Saccharomyces cerevisiae S288C: one gene and its partners. The gene in region 1 interacts genetically with each later gene. Each region holds a gene or a part of one and is shown in the gene's direction. Other genes may lie near its edges. The genes, in order: BER1, YAL064W, FHL1 and FCF1.

What was found.
Region 2: mutations in BER1 (region 1) and YAL064W together harm fitness less than expected from each alone (positive genetic interaction), as found in Saccharomyces cerevisiae (one large-scale study listed by BioGRID).
Region 3: mutations in BER1 (region 1) and FHL1 together harm fitness more than expected from each alone (negative genetic interaction), as found in Saccharomyces cerevisiae (one large-scale study listed by BioGRID).
Region 4: mutations in BER1 (region 1) and FCF1 together harm fitness less than expected from each alone (positive genetic interaction), as found in Saccharomyces cerevisiae (one large-scale study listed by BioGRID).

What each region holds. Positions count from the first base shown.
Region 1 is NC_001144.5:946,308-950,254, forward strand, and holds BER1 (Ber1p), read left to right. Parts: upstream 1-2,060; coding exon 2,061-2,885; downstream 2,886-3,947. Other genes in the region: high-affinity Cu transporter CTR3, read left to right, coding at 946-1,671.
Region 2 is NC_001133.9:19,260-22,710, forward strand, and holds YAL064W (uncharacterized protein), read left to right. Parts: upstream 1-2,306; coding exon 2,307-2,591; downstream 2,592-3,451. Other genes in the region: YAL063C-A (uncharacterized protein), read right to left, coding at 3,136-3,426.
Region 3 is NC_001148.4:732,538-738,244, reverse strand, and holds FHL1 (Fhl1p), read left to right. Parts: upstream 1-1,811; coding exon 1,812-4,622; downstream 4,623-5,707. Other genes in the region: Golgi transport complex subunit COG4, read left to right, coding at 1-1,261; PRE2 (proteasome core particle subunit beta 5), read right to left, coding at 5,033-5,707. UniProt on the Saccharomyces cerevisiae protein: Acts as a transcriptional regulator that recruits coactivator IFH1 to the promoters of ribosomal protein genes. Recruited to ribosomal gene promoters by RAP1.
Region 4 is NC_001136.10:1,148,685-1,152,411, reverse strand, and holds FCF1 (rRNA-processing protein FCF1), read left to right. Parts: upstream 1-1,891; coding exon 1,892-2,461; downstream 2,462-3,727. Other genes in the region: YDR341C (arginine--tRNA ligase), read left to right, coding at 1-609; YDR338C (uncharacterized protein), read left to right, coding at 2,946-3,727. UniProt on the Saccharomyces cerevisiae protein: Essential protein involved in pre-rRNA processing and 40S ribosomal subunit assembly. Required for the early cleavage steps of 35S rRNA at the A(0), A(1), and A(2) sites.

The sequences.
Region 1 (3,947 bases):
CACAAAAACAAACCTACCAAGCCAGATAATAAACTAGTCGCAATAAGCGATGCTTCATATGGTAACCAACCATATTACAAGTCACAAATTGGTAACATTTTCCTACTCAACGGAAAAGTGATTGGAGGAAAGTCGACAAAGGCTTCGTTAACATGCACTTCAACTACAGAAGCAGAAATACACGCAGTCAGTGAAGCTATACCGCTATTGAATAACCTCAGTCACCTTGTGCAAGAACTTAACAAGAAACCAATTATTAAAGGCTTACTTACTGATAGTAGATCAACGATCAGTATAATTAAGTCTACAAATGAAGAGAAATTTAGAAACAGATTTTTTGGCACAAAGGCAATGAGACTTAGAGATGAAGTATCAGGTAATAATTTATACGTATACTACATCGAGACCAAGAAGAACATTGCTGATGTGATGACAAAACCTCTTCCGATAAAAACATTTAAACTATTAACAAACAAATGGATTCATTAGATCTATTACATTATGGGTGGTATGTTGGAATAAAAATCAACTATCATCTACTAACTAGTATTTACGTTACTAGTATATTATCATATACGGTGTTAGAAGATGACGCAAATGATGAGAAATAGTCATCTAAATTAGTGGAAGCTGAAACGCAAGGATTGATAATGTAATAGGATCAATGAATATTAACATATAAAATGATGATAATAATATTTATAGAATTGTGTAGAATTGCAGATTCCCTTTTATGGATTCCTAAATCCTCGAGGAGAACTTCTAGTATATCTACATACCTAATATTATTGCCTTATTAAAAATGGAATCCCAACAATTACATCAAAATCCACATTCTCTTCACTTCTCCGATAGACTTGTAATTTATCTTATTTCATTTCCTAACACTTTGATCGAAGAAGAGGGATAACAACAGACGAAAACACATTTAAGGGCTATACAAAGATGAATATGGGAGGCAGTAGCAGCACTGCTGCCAAAAAAGCGACTTGTAAAATATCGATGTTATGGAATTGGTATACCATTGACACCTGCTTCATTGCCAGATCTTGGAGAAATGACACCAAAGGAAAATTTGCTGGTTCTTGCATCGGCTGTTTTGCGCTTGTGGTGGTAGCTCAATGGCTTACTCGTTTTTCAAGGCAATTTGACGTAGAGCTATTAAAAAGACAGAAAATAAAGCATTTAGCTAGTTACTCGCCAGAGGAGTACGTTGTCAAATGTGGAGAAGAGGATGCTAAATCTGATATAGAAGAACTACAAGGCTTTTACAACGAACCAAGCTGGAAAACAACTTTAATTTCCTTACAAAAAAGTTTCATTTATAGTTTTTACGTTTGGGGTCCAAGGAGATTGAACGAGCCAGAAGACGACCTGTTAAAGAAGGTCCTATCATGCTGTACATTAATAACGCCAGTGGATTTGTACCCAACTTTTTTGGATCACATGATAAGAGTTACTATTTTCGTATTACAGTGGGGGTTATCTTATATCATCATGCTGCTGTTCATGTACTATAACGGCTATATCATTATTAGTTGTTTAATAGGTGCTATCGTTGGTCGTTTCATATTTTGCTATGAACCTCTAGGCTCATTGGGTGCTAATGGATCAGCCCAGGGTACAGTGAGTTATGATAAAGAGAGTGATGATCGCAAATGCTGCTTGTAGAAAGACAAAAATGAATAGAGGAAAGCCGAGAGGTTTGTTTCAAAAATTGACGCCTTCCTCATTTTTTTCATAATTAGCTGGTAAAAGTTACTATTTGTAACGACTGCTAAATAACAAATAATTATTCGTGTAAAAATAAATAGCTAATACCACCAGGTGTTCATATTCCATGACTGCATATTTGGGAAACGAGACGGTTTGAACATCCTTAGTTGATGTAAAACTATAATAAAAGCTCTATGGGAAGTAAACTATCTGCGGGTCGGGTAAGGAATGATGCTTGCTCGACGTGTAGCGATGAAAAAAGTGAAAACTTATTTGAACTCTAGAAAACTGCTAAGATCCTGAACTGATACCGAAGTTAATGACCTTGACCGGTCTTCTGCTGTATGGATTTTAAAGCAAGTGGGACAAAGTTTAAGAAAACTGGCAAGAAGGTAGTGCCTGCTAAAGCGTTTGAAGAAATTGTTCAGACAAATAGAGATGTTCTGAAAAAATCAGCATTCCTCTCAGATTTACTTGAAAATTTACAACCGCACCTCAATAACATTAAGAAAATACGATGTGTTGCAATTGGAAATTTCAAGGAGGATTTTCCTGCGACGTACCAATTCGCTCTTCTCCTAGAGATTACTGATTATATAAAAAGTGAGGATGAAAGGGATGTCGTTGTTTCCCTGTATGATCCAATATTTACTAAAGAAGAGATACAGTACTTGAAAAGTTTAGGAAGCAAATGGCTGATAGAGGAAGAATTTTCAGAGAACGATGCAATTGATTATGAATCGGTATTATATTTCCTTCCCCATGCTCCTTTGGATTTAACTGAGAACATACTATCGTCACAGCGACCACACTTATGGCTGGCAAATAATATGATATCACACACCGATAGATACACCAAAGCAAAACTTTGTGAAAACTATCCTAATTTAAGCAAGCTAGTTCATTACTTGCAGACTAACGCTCCGCCAGAAGTTAAAAAAGCACATGATGTAGATGGTTTTGCAACATTCATTCCAAAGAGAAAAAGAAAAAACAGAAACAACTCCTCTAAACTCAAGGTCACACCATCTGATATAGACTATGATTCAATAGCACCGAAGTTTAAGTCCTGCCAAATACTCACCGATTTTGATGAAGGAAAGTATTTGAAGGAAAAACCCTGGATCAATTCCTTCTCTGACTTGACGTTACATGCTATAGAGTACTAACATATCATTCACTACATAGTACTTTATAACTAAACTGTAACCTTTCAGGGCATCGTAACCTGACGCTTTACCATCAATAACGACACGAGACCGCTTTATCTATGATACTGGAACAATCAACATGATTGTTATAAATGTACTCGACAGGATCATGAAAGGATACCAACTTAGTTGCCGGTTCATTGAAATGGAAAGCTCAAGAACGTATACTGAAAGAGAGCGACGTCTACTTTGCCCACAAAAATCTACTCTCTGAATTGAATAGTATTTAGAGATTGCATAATTCAAGCCCTCCTCGAGGAAAGGATATAAATGAAAATACCGTTTTTCCTGCTGATGGTTATCGTCCCTGTCAAGGATACTTCTCGGACTCGAACAACGTTACAGCTCAACTTAAAGAAGGCTAAATACGACAAGGGCGCTTGCCCTAAGAGGAACTGTTTCTAAGTTCTAACGAGTGCCTGCGAAGATCGGTTTTTTTTAACTTCGCGGGCGAATTGATAAATAAAGTTCTTCTTGCAATTTTTTAAGATCAAGGTTGGGGCAAAAAGGACGCAAACGAATGGTTGGGTTAAGAAAGTGGAAAGACCCAAACCTGAAGTTCATTTAGTTCTTGGCGGAATGAATCATTCGAACGGCGCAATACGCTCGTCAAAGAAGGAGGTATGATTTATGACGGTTTGTGGGTAGCCCTCTAAACACGTGGAGAGTAACCTTTTCTGTTTAGCGATCCTAGAACTGCGAACAATGGTAGCTATTCGCTTACTCAACAATATTGTTCTTGATTAATGCATTCAAATATGTAACTTCGTCCCTCATATAAGCGTCTGACGCGTCGTGAAAATTTACCCTCTCAAGAAAATACAAGAGATTACGTAAAATTAGAAACCAAAAGATATGAGTGGAACAGACACATATCACCCATATTTCCTTTTCACGTAAGAAAACTTAAGTACTAGTGCGGTGCCTGCGTTAGTGCTTGTCTTTAGGTCAAACAGGTCATCTTGACCAACTTAGCTTATAATAAGAATGATAATCGATTACTCTAAATAGCATTCTTTC
Region 2 (3,451 bases), on another chromosome or scaffold:
GTATGTTTTTGTCAAAATATTTTCTTGACCTTGCTGTAACATCAAGATCTGTTTCTCTAAGATATTAAAGTTGAGTAAAAACAAAGCTGATATGAGAAAAATACGTAATTGCTCCACATAATACGTGGGTCAGACATAAAGGTAGAATACTTGATACAGAAGAGATTATTCGGTACTCTTGATGGCGTGCTTGAACTGGTGCCTCTTAACAACCGGTAATATAGTCAGATGAGTCACTACGAGTGTGTGTAGTAGCAAGTGTTTTACCTACGTGGCAGTAAGAGTAGCTCTATGGTTGTGTAATAGTGGTGCTTATTCCTAATGCTCTGAAGTCTGAAGCGGTACAGTTGGTCTGGTCTATATCATGGTCAAAGGAGCAAACATATCTTCTGAAGTGACCGCAAATAGTACTATGATGTGGTTGGCAATATAACTTAAAAGGAAATAACCACAAGGAATTGCACCCATGTACACAGTTTTTCCCGGAAATTGGGAAACCAGTACGAACATATATCAATTACTTTTACATTATCTTGATTGGAAAACTGGCACAATTGACTGTGACGTTAGTAGTATGTTGTTCTTCTCTACATCAGTTAAATATACGTGTCAACATCAACTAATCAACTTTCCCCCGTTTACCACATTGAAGCTGGGTGTGGAAGATTTATTTGAAGAAACTAAAACGTACCCTGTCATTTCCTGAGTCCCCTTTCAACTTAGTGTGAAAGCCGAACAATTATAATCCTCGGTAGACAACAGATTTATTGTACTAAAGTTACTCTTCCTGTTATCTTCCTTGATTTTACTGTTATAGCAATGACCCACCGCAATCAGGAGAGCCGCCGTATGGAATAGCATACCAAGTCATAAAATCGTCAACCTATTAACGGGGTTCAGGTTCTTTTTCAGCGTAGTAGCCCTTTAACAAGCGCTGACAAAGTTGACACTCAGAGAAAATTCAGGATTTATTGTAATCCAGCTACTCATCCTTAGATCCGCTTGCAGGCATGGTTTTTTTCACCTTGAGAGGCTATTTTGGGTAAGCCAGGAAGGCTGAAAAATCCCAAAAGGACACAGTAATAAGAAATTGTTGTTGTTGTATGATGCATTTAGAACTCAAAAGACGAGTTTCTGAAAATGCTTACAATACTCCATAGGTAACATGATTTTTTTATTAAAAAAGTATACTGTTCCTTTGGGTAAAAATTATGCAACCCTTGAGTGTCCGATGAAGATAAGACTACGAAACAATTTGCGGTAAATTTTTTCTGCTATTGACATTTACACATGCTCCAATCCATTACCCTTTCCATTCTCGTAATAAAACCTCGAACTGTTATTTCATATTTACATCTAGACGGGTATCGGCCTCAACAACTCCAAACAAAAGTAAATAGAAAAGAGCCAGACCTATCGCACCGGGTAGAGCCAGAAAATATTTTAAACTATAGTTGACGTATTCTACGGCTGTTGTTTAGGACAATACTTTTTCCTTCACAGGCTTCGAATTACGCACATGCAGAACTCCTGTAGAAACCACGAAGAAAAGTTTAATTAACTTTCAAATGCCAGAACTAAAGATTGATGAAACAGTTATACGAATTTAAGGGGAACTTGCTTTTTCCTTTTGCTTCATCATAAGCGCAATATTCGCAGCGGTGGCGTCGCGTCTTACCATTTATCGGCACATTTTTCCGAAAAGGAAGGAAAATGGCGGTGTCAAACGGTCTGGTGTGACATCTAGAAGTTCGGCATTGCAAGTTAATCTACGGGAAAAAGAAAATTTTCTTATAACCCTAATGTATAATAAGGTTTTCGGAGAAAGCAACTCACGGGGAACAATTGGTTAGAAGAGACCGTAGAAGCGCCCCACTAACCTGGAGTTGATTATCGAGGATCTTTCTCAGAAAAGCAGCTAATAAATGAGCACAGTACTCAAAAATTACTCATAGTATTATAATTACTTACTTAGTCAATATGGCTGCGCTTTTAAAATGAGTATCTTTTATTTTTTGACAAGGAAGAAAAAGATGCAAGCAAAGAGAAATTTACTAAGTACAAGCTCATTTCCAAAAATTCAGTTTGCCTGTAACAATGGGTAGCGATCTTCAACATATGGGATTATGCCTTGAATGAGATTTTTGAACGTAGAGGAAAAAATCGCAGACAGGCTTTATTGTGCTGTTTGACATAGTATACTCAGCCGTTGTGGTGTTAATGAATACTATCGATGTGTATACAAACGTACTTCAAATAAGCAATGCGAATATACTGCAACTTTTCGGCCTTTGCAACGATTTGTAATGAATCCTTTTGCATCGCTAGAAGGACAAGATAATATTTCTTCTGTTTTTTTTTTACATATGCAACAATTTGAAAGTCAGGTCAAAGACAGATTCCGGTTCCCCATATTCAGATTGGAGAGAAAAACTTTTGGCAACTCATGTTACCAAGTCGAGACGCTTAAAGTTAAGTGTCGGCCAAGACACGCAAAATCTTGTAATCTTTTAACGCTGCTCTTCAAATCACGGACGCAATCAGTACTTGTACCTAATTTTGGTTTTCTAATATTGAATAGCGAACCATAGGTCGAAAATTTAAGGCCACATAAATCCAGAGCCCGCAACTTGGATAGGTATTTACTTGATTTTTAGTTTGCTTTCAATAGTGTCGTGAAATTATAAAGTACGCCGCATATATATCTTGATTAGTTAAAAATAGCAGTGTTCAATGATGATTTGATAGGGTTCATAACTGGTACCAGCGTAGTACAATTACGATTATCCATGAACATAAAAGTGGTTTAAGTACTATATATCAGTGAAGCTTCAAAGTAAGCAAACGAGATACCAAGATCTTGTAGGACCACGATATATAAGAAGCCTAGTTCCGTTGTAGCATCACATAGAAGAGAGCGACAATGCCTCAGAAATTCTACAGCAACAGAAAGCACAGTGAGTCATTAACTGTTGGAATAAGACTCAACTGCGAGCTATCGACTAGTACTTATATTACTAGTATATTATATACGGTGTGAAAAGACGACATGAAGATTGAGGAAATGGTCCCAAGATCTAATGGACACTGAAATGCAAAAGTTGATAATGTAACATGAAAATTAAGGACAGCATATTAAACAGAAGAGGAAATAATGGTATTTTTACATAGAGATATGAATTTCCCTTTTTCTTTGTTCCTATATCTCTGATAATAAGTTATAATATACTTTGTGCATCTTATATCATGCCTTTTCAACAATGAAATATCAGCAGTTATCAAAGCATTCGCCAAATTTTTATTAATAAAACAAATGTCAGAAATATGGCCGGAATCTAATCTGAAAGTTAAAATAATTCTTACGATATTCTTATCATAAAACCAATGATTAATGTTTATGATGAGCAAAACTGTGCGAGGGCACATACATACAGTGGGACCTCATGAGATC
Region 3 (5,707 bases), on another chromosome or scaffold:
ATTTAGAAATAGTATTTCACTAGAAGAATTACCGTCACTGAACGATCTTATAACTGCTGTTCCCCTCAATGACCACGATAACATTTCATACCCTGTAACATCTGTTTTAGATGACTTAATTTTATTAGTTCGGAAAAATCTGATATCAGTGGTTAATACTGGCCAGTTTAAGCTCTTAGCAAGTTTTTTGAACGAGTTGGTAAAATTTTTTCAGAACCGATTTCTGGTAAAATTTATGCAAAACAAATTTAAGTTACTACAATCGAAACTAGCCTCCAATGTATCTTTGAAAAGATACATTCCAAAAGGTGAGGAGCAATCTGCAACATCAAGATCGGTTTCTCCACCTGCAAATAAGTTTTCTCCGCTAAGCAGGTTCACTTTTAGAGGGGCAGCAGCTAGCGCTTTGACAAATATTCAATCAAATTTACAAGCCGTAGTTGCAGAGGACGAGGATTCCATTCTTGCGTTGCACCATTATTTGATATATCTGAACACGTTGTACTTGAGTAAAGTATACGTTCACAGGCTGTTATCCATAGAAATATTAGAAGACGATTCGCAAAGGATTTTGAGAGACAATTTCCCTTTTGACAATGATGCAGCGCAGTTACAGAATTTAATTATAAACTCAGAAAAATTAGTCCTGGAACAAACAGATAAGCTAAGCAAATGGGCTGTCAAATACTTGTTCCAAAATATCCTACAAAATAGGGTTCGGAACTTATTGGGAACTGTTTTTGTTAATTCAGCCTCATCAAATTCCTCAACGTCCAATCAAAAAAATGTGTCTCGCGATTATTCTGCAGGTTCGAACCAAAAGAATTACATCACAAGCATAGAAGATTTCGAAGATTTGTCGCAAATTAACAGTTTCAATAGCAAATGGAACCAATTGATTATCCCTTACAAAAATATTCTTCACAACGAAGCATATGCAGAGTTGCTATCTGTCATAGTCGACTACATCGTAACAACATTGGAGCAAAGAATATGGACTCTAGAATTCAATGAACTTGGTGTTACGAAATTAGATAGAGAACTGAGCCTTTTCATCGGCAATATGTGTGGCTTGAACTATAATCTCAGAGAGAAGTTCTTGAAATTGACACAAATCGTGTTGCTTCTCGGTTTAGATGATGACAATTTTGATTTGACTACAGGTGATATCAAGGATGACTTCAATGGTACTTTCGATTGGGTGATAAACTCTCAGGAAAGAATTAAAGCTAGAAATATGAAGATTGATAGAACACAGTAAATATAACATAAGCTTTACGAGCTGAATACTAAGTAGTTTCATATAAACGCAAACATAATCTTGGCTGTTGTACCTTTTCTGCATACTCTTGACTGTTAATACATTTCTTATTTTTCTTATGAAAGAGCACAACATGATAGCGCCATACTATCATTCTGAACGTTGCGATTAACTGGAAATTACGAAGACTAAGACAAGAAAAATTAAAAGCGTTAATAAAAAATAAACAAAGGAACCTTTGAAATATATTCCGTCACCAAGCTAAGAAAGGAGTAGCTCTTTCTCTAAGGCCAACTTTGTCATCCTTTGAGTTAGTTTAAAGTCTATTAATATTTGCTATTATCTTCTGGGCTGGATAAATAGGACTTTTCTATTGGCACATTTTTTTCTCTTGTAGAAGGTCATCACGAATATTAATTTTGTATTTGAAAGCATTTTATTTTCTCCTTTTTTTATTACCATAATATACCTGGTACTGGTTTTTACCTGATTTAACGTCTAGCCGCTCAAAACAAAAACCCACTCATATCTATACAAATATAAGAATAAGATGGATGGGGAAATGGCAATAATAGAAAGCAGCAATCATGTCGGGACTTCATCGCCTACCACTGAAACACAGTTTACTATAGATTCTTCCGCATTGAAAGACCAAGAAACCAAAGAAAGCATAACAAATTCACCGACAAGCGAGGTACCGATTGAAACAAAACTACCAAAAAGTTCTGATATAGTAACAGAGGAAAAACATCCTCAAAACACGACTACTGATATTGAAAACGAGGTAGAGAATCCTGTTACAGACGATAATGGAAATTTGAAACTTGAATTACCTGATAACCTTGATAACGCTGATTTTTCGAAGCTACTGGAATTTGATGCAAAAAATGATGAAGCTCTGTTCAACTCAAATGAGTTGTTATCCCACACCATGGATCCTGTAAATAACATCGATTTAACTCATGATCACAGCAGGGAGGTTTCATCAAAAGAAGATATCAATATAGAGCCAGTAAACCCTGATGAGGACGAAAGGGAGAAAACTCAAGATAACACAGCAGCAGTGAAAACTGAAGGCATAAGGAACTCAGAAGATACAAGTATACAAAAGGATGAACCCACTGCTGATGCTATATACACAGATGTGCATAAATTATCAGTAAACAAAGATACCGAGACCCTACCAACATTAGTAGATGAAAAAAACAACATGCTGCATATGAGAAACAATTCAATAACGCCAATAATGTTTCAGCAGCATGAATTAGTGGGACAACCGCCACAAAACACTGTAACGGAAAATAATAGTACAGATGCTGAAACTACCCAACGAAAACTATCTGAGCCAATCGATGCAAGTTTACCGCTACCGAATGAACAACCGACTATCTTCGCCTATGCAAGGCTGGACTTTCAAAGTTTCACATTTTATGTACAAACATTACATGCAATAATCGGAAGGAGGTCTGAGAATGACTTCTCCCACAAAGTTGACGTTAATCTTGGTCCTTCAAAATCAATATCGAGGAGACACGCCCAGATTTTTTACAATTTTGGGACAGGAAGGTTCGAATTGTCCATAATAGGGAAGAATGGTGCTTTTGTGGATGACATTTTCGTTGAAAAAGGAAATACTGTGCCACTTCGTAATAAGACAAAAATTCAAATTGGACAAATTCCATTTCAATTTATTTTACCAGAACAAGAACGTAACGACGATAGCAAAAGCCCAGAAAACGCTGACATAGCAGAATCTGAAATAAATACAAGAAATCTCAAAAAAAACGAGCCCAAATCTAAGAAAAAGATTACAACTGGAGCAAAGCCCAAGAAAGCGCAGACCAAACCAGCTGTTAAGAAAGAAAAGAAGCCACCGAAAATACCAAAGAAAGTATATACTTTGGAGGAGATTCCAGTAGAATATAGAACGAAACCTACTGTATCTTACTCTGCTATGCTAACTACTTGCATACGAAAGTACTCGACTGCCAAGGGAATGTCTTTATCTGAAATTTATGCAGGAATAAGAGAACTCTTCCCCTATTATAAATACTGTCCTGATGGGTGGCAAAGCTCGGTAAGACACAACTTATCGCTAAATAAATCTTTCAGGAAGGTTTCTAAAGAAGGCAAAGGATGGTTATGGGGTCTTGATGAAGAATATATTGCAGAGAGGGAACGACAGAAAAAGAAACAAAGTGAGATAGCTGTGGCAAAGGCACAAGCTGCACAATTAAAACTTGAACAGCAACAGCACAAACTTCAGCAAGTGCCGCAGAGGGGCAAAAAAGATATTGTTTCGCAGAGATCTAACGTTAATGCGAGAAAACAAAACATCTCACAAACTCTTGCAGCAAACAGAGCCGCCTCGAACAGGAAAAATACAGCAAGTGATAATCAAAGGACAATGAAATATCTGCAGGAACAGCTTGTCATTTTAACACGAGATAGAAAGGGTTTATCGAAGCAGGTCATCGCTGCAATTTTGACGCAGGCTCTAGCTATGACAATAAATCAGGTTACACAAGCGGCAAAAAACAAGGGGATTACTGGTAATCCACTTACAGCCTTGATGGACAAGAATCCTCAGCATTTGAATCTAATTTTAGCAGCTGCTGTAAACGCGGCAACTGCAAAAGTCACAAAAGGTGAGGTAAAGCAATTAGTGAACCCTGAAACTACAGCGGCGGCGGCTTTAGCAGCTAAGGCACAGCATTCCAAACCGATACGCCAACCAATAGTCCAGACGCCGCATGTACCAGATAGGCCTCCATCTCAGTTATCTGCGTCGGCATCATCCCATCCCAATAATTACTTGCATGATAAACAACCGGGATCGTTTGATCCTTCGTCCTTGTCTCGATTTTTTCAACCGAGACAAAATGCTAGGGCTACATCCTCTGTGGCAGCTACGTCAGTTCCGGCGGCTGCTTCTCAAAATGTTGATGCACAACCCAAACCTAAGCCTGCACAGGACAACGACTTAGAAAGTGAAAGCGGCACTAGTAGTAGTAGCAGTTCCAGTAGTGAGAGCGGAAGCGAGAGCGATAGTGGTAGCGATGACGGTAGTGCTAGTGGAAGCGGCGATAATAGCAGCACTAGTAGTGAAAGCGAAAGCGAAAGTGATAGTGGAAGCGAAGTAGATGAAAAGAACAACAAAAACGAAAAGATCGATAGTGAAAGTATTAAAAACAACGAATCTAAAGATGATATTCCATCTAAAGACGAGAATAGTAGCAATGATAATCGCGAGATTTCAAAAACCGACGAAGAAGGTCATGATTCTAAAAGGCGGAAGGTCAGCGAGGATATCAACGAGGGTATCACTGAAGTAAATGTATCCCTTGAGGAAAAACTTTAAAAAATTTCGATAATAGTATTAGCATATTCGAAGTAGAAGCATAAATCTTTTCATAAAGATAGATCGGATCAAGCCATAGTAATAGGTATGAATCTATGCGTCCTATTCTGTTTTGCGTTGTTGAGATTCAGTCTTCGATTTTTACAAAATTTTCCATCGGGTCGCCTCTACAACTACTTATTCACTTCGTTTGATTTCGGGTTTCACTTTTTGTTTGCATTGATGGCGTCTGTCCTCATATTACCGAACAATACTTAAAGATATAATTATATAAAAATATATAGATGTGATGATTGGAAACATGAGAACTGGACTTCCTTCATAATTCTATGGGAAGCCATATTGGATCCTTGAAGAGAATAATGTATCATTAATATAGATGTGCATATACATATGTTTGATGCTTCTATTTAGCCAATAACGTTGTTGAAAGATCCTTCCTCTTCCTTGACCTTCCAAAATAGTTCACCTACGTCATGATTACCGTGATATATCCAACCATCCTCGGTAACATGATATAAATTTACAGAACCACCAGAGTAAGCATCTCTATGGGCAGCAGCTAAAATAGATCTCTTACCTAGATATAAAGCATCTTCAACGGATAAATCCCATTTATAGTTAGAGTCTAGAACACCATATGCAAATGTTTGACCTGAACCAACGCAGAATATGTCACCTTTTAATCTTGTACCGTCTGAGTCGACGTAATAAATGGTTGGGCCCTCCTTCCTAGTGTAACCACAGATCATAGTACCCATTGATAAACCGGCCCCTTTATATTGGTATACTAAATTGCTTAAAATCTTGGATGCGGCTGCGACAGATATACGTTCCTTTTCCCTCAGCTCGTGCAGCCTACACTGAGAACCTAGCCAAGTTTCCCAAAATTGACAATCTGCCGCACCACCAGCCATTGTACCCAATAAAAATGGGTTGATCTCAATAACTTTCTTCACAGTTTGAGAAGCAACCCAATTGCCGGCAGTGGCACGAGAATCTACTGCCACAATAATACCGCCTTGAAATCTAAATGCTAAGGTTGTAGTACCATGTGCGATCTTGATTTTACAGTCTGGGTTTCG
Region 4 (3,727 bases), on another chromosome or scaffold:
CAAGGTATGTCAACAAGAAAAGGTACTGTTGTCTTCTTAGATAATATCTTGGAGGAAACTAAGGAAAAAATGCACGAAGTTATGAAAAAGAATGAGAACAAATACGCGCAAATTGAGCATCCAGAAGAAGTTGCCGATTTAGTTGGTATCTCTGCCGTCATGATTCAAGATATGCAAGGTAAGCGTATCAACAACTACGAGTTTAAATGGGAAAGAATGCTTTCATTCGAAGGTGACACTGGTCCATACCTTCAATATGCTCACTCAAGGTTAAGATCAGTTGAAAGAAATGCTTCTGGTATCACCCAAGAAAAATGGATAAATGCCGATTTTTCGTTATTAAAAGAACCTGCCGCAAAACTGTTGATTAGACTGCTAGGCCAATACCCCGATGTTTTGAGAAATGCAATCAAAACCCACGAGCCAACAACCGTGGTCACATATTTATTCAAATTGACTCACCAGGTTTCTTCTTGTTATGACGTCTTATGGGTTGCTGGTCAAACTGAAGAATTAGCAACTGCCCGTCTGGCTCTATATGGTGCTGCAAGACAAGTTTTATACAACGGTATGCGCTTGTTAGGTTTAACTCCCGTAGAAAGAATGTAATAAACTTTTCCACCAAGCCATTCTTCAAATGTGTTTTATTTCTATAATTGGATATAAATTGTATAAACGGATTATTTCAATCCTTGCCATCTTTTTGTTAGGGGCCATTGTCCACATTTCATTAAATAGATCGAAAAAAAATAAGAAAACAAGATTCGTAAAGTAATCACGATTTTAACGTAGAAAAATACGGGTCAAACAGAACTTGAAAAACATCAACAAAAAGTAAGAAAAAAGTCTTCGTTGTTTCTATTGGAAAAAGAATTAACTGTCATCTATCAACCAAGTTATCAAATTTAATGGAATCTGAAATATAAAGATTGATAATGTGATAGGGTAATGAAAACCATAAAAAACAAAAGGAGAAATAATCGTAATATTATAATGTAGAAATACCGATTTTCTTTACAATGGAATCCCAACAATTATCAAATTGAGAATTGGGTGAATTTTGAGATAATTGTTGGGATTCCATTGTCGATAAAGGCTATAATATTAGGTATACAGAATATACTAGAAATTCTCCTCGAGGATATAGGAATCCCAAAATGGAATCTATATTTCTATACACTAATATTACGATTATTCCTCATTCCGTTTTATATGTTTCATTATCCTATTACATTATCAATCCTTGCACTTCAGCTTCCCCTAACTTCGATGACAGCTTCTCATAACTTATGTCATAATCTAACACCGTATATGATAGTATATTGATACTATAACTATTAGTTGACAGACGATAGTGAATTTTTATTCCAACACTTCTTTCCATGATTTTATTCCTAATCAAGAAAATATAGATTTTCACCATAGTAATGATATAGAAAACTAGAAACACTTTCACTTCAAAGTGTTTCAGTCCCAGTGGCCGAGTGGTTAAGGCGATGCCTGCTATTTCCTCAGAAAAGCAATTAGGCATTGGGTTTTACCTGCGCAGGTTCGAATCCTGTCTGTGACGCACTTTATTTTTTCTACATCCACTATTTTAAAGCTTGATTTTTTTGATTGTGAGCCACCTTCATGTACCTATCGTTTGTGGACTATTGCCATTAATTGCTTATTCACTTGCAATGATTTTATAAACATTACTCAAACTATCGGTTCCTACTGGAAGATATAACAAAAAAATTTGGCATATTTCTAAAGGTATCATTATGAACGGCTAAAATTTTTCAGCTTGCTACTATTCTTGAATGATGCCTCTTTAAACATTACTGTGCATTAACACACAATAACAGTGACTTGTAACGGAAATATCGATATACTACAACAGTTAATTATGGGTAAAGCTAAGAAAACAAGAAAGTTTGGCCTCGTAAAAAGAACTTTGAACACCAAGAAAGACCAAAGATTGAAGAAAAACCAGGAAAATATCAAAACTAAAGAAGACCCTGAGCTAACCAGGAATATACCACAAGTATCAAGTGCACTTTTCTTTCAATACAATCAAGCTATAAAGCCACCTTATCAAGTACTGATAGATACCAATTTTATAAATTTTTCTATCCAGAAAAAAGTCGATATTGTTAGAGGAATGATGGACTGTCTACTCGCAAAATGTAACCCGTTAATCACAGATTGTGTGATGGCAGAGTTAGAAAAATTGGGCCCCAAGTACCGTATCGCCTTGAAACTGGCTCGAGATCCTAGAATAAAGAGACTAAGCTGTTCGCACAAGGGTACGTACGCGGATGACTGTTTAGTGCATCGAGTCTTACAACATAAGTGTTACATCGTAGCTACAAACGATGCCGGCCTGAAACAAAGAATTAGAAAAATCCCTGGAATTCCTTTGATGAGCGTAGGCGGTCACGCATACGTCATTGAAAAATTGCCAGATGTCTTTTAAACTACTGTGTATTCACTCTTTAAGTATGTAGTGCAATGTTTTTGGTTTATATGTATATTAATTTCATAACAACAAGTTCATGGTTTGCCCGTATTGGAGCATGTTTTCAGATGAACTGAAATGCCTAAGGATATTTCTATTTCTTTTCAAGACCATTTACTCAATAATTGCTCTAAAGAAACGCAAATGCAAGGAGAAAAAAGAGGGCGTTTGAGACGCGACCAGTAACAGTTATAAACGGTAACCATTTGGCATCTTTTCATAATATCACTGTCAGCTATTATCCTCTTCCATGGGTTCCACGCGATGCAGAATATTTCTTAAGGAAGTTTTCATCTTCGCGCAAGCAAGGGACAAAACTTGATTGTATTTTTACATAAGCAAGCATATTTGATGCTGAAGAAGTATTATTATAAAAACTAAACATTGGAAAATACACATATAGCATACCTTAATATATACGGATAAAAAAAAGGTTGAAAAAATGGCTGGAATTTTGTCAAAGACTCTTTCAGAAGTGCATCCTTCCCTCCGAACAAATGGTATGGGTATCGGTAACACTCACAGGAGGATATCGCTAGGCTTCCTACCTCCCAACAAGAAGAATCCTCTGGTACGAAAATTTCGTGCAAGAACGAGAAATATTGATCAGAGGAGTTTCAGATCTTTAACAGATGATTTTGGAAGTAACGTCCATGAACCAAATCCGTACTTAGGTAATATTGATGAGGAACCTGACCTTTACTATCATGATGAAGAAGATGGCGAACTGAGCAGAACGATTTCTCTACCATCAAGGGTATCAGAAACTCCTGAGCTTTCGCCACAAGATGTTGATTGGATTCTACATGAACATGAACGACGATACTCATCGGTATGCAACTCTGATAATGAGGAAGCAAGTCAAAGCAACACACCAGATAGAATACAAGAATATTCTGGAAGAGAACTAGAATATGACGAATTTATGAATAGACTCCAAGCTCAGAAACAGAAATTAACTCGAAGTGCGGTAACAGACGCTAAAGGCACCTCACATCACAGAAGACCATCATTCGTATCTGTGACTAGCCGAGGCTCAGTTCCCACAATTTACCAAGAGATCGACGAGAACGATTCTGAGGCACTAGCAGAATTGGCTCACAGCCACGTCACCTTCAAATCAGAAGCAAGAGTTTTGGCATCTTATTCCTTCCCTCTAATTTTCACATTCTTATTGGAACAGATTTTCCCTATGGTATGTTCATTAACTGTGGGCCACTTAGG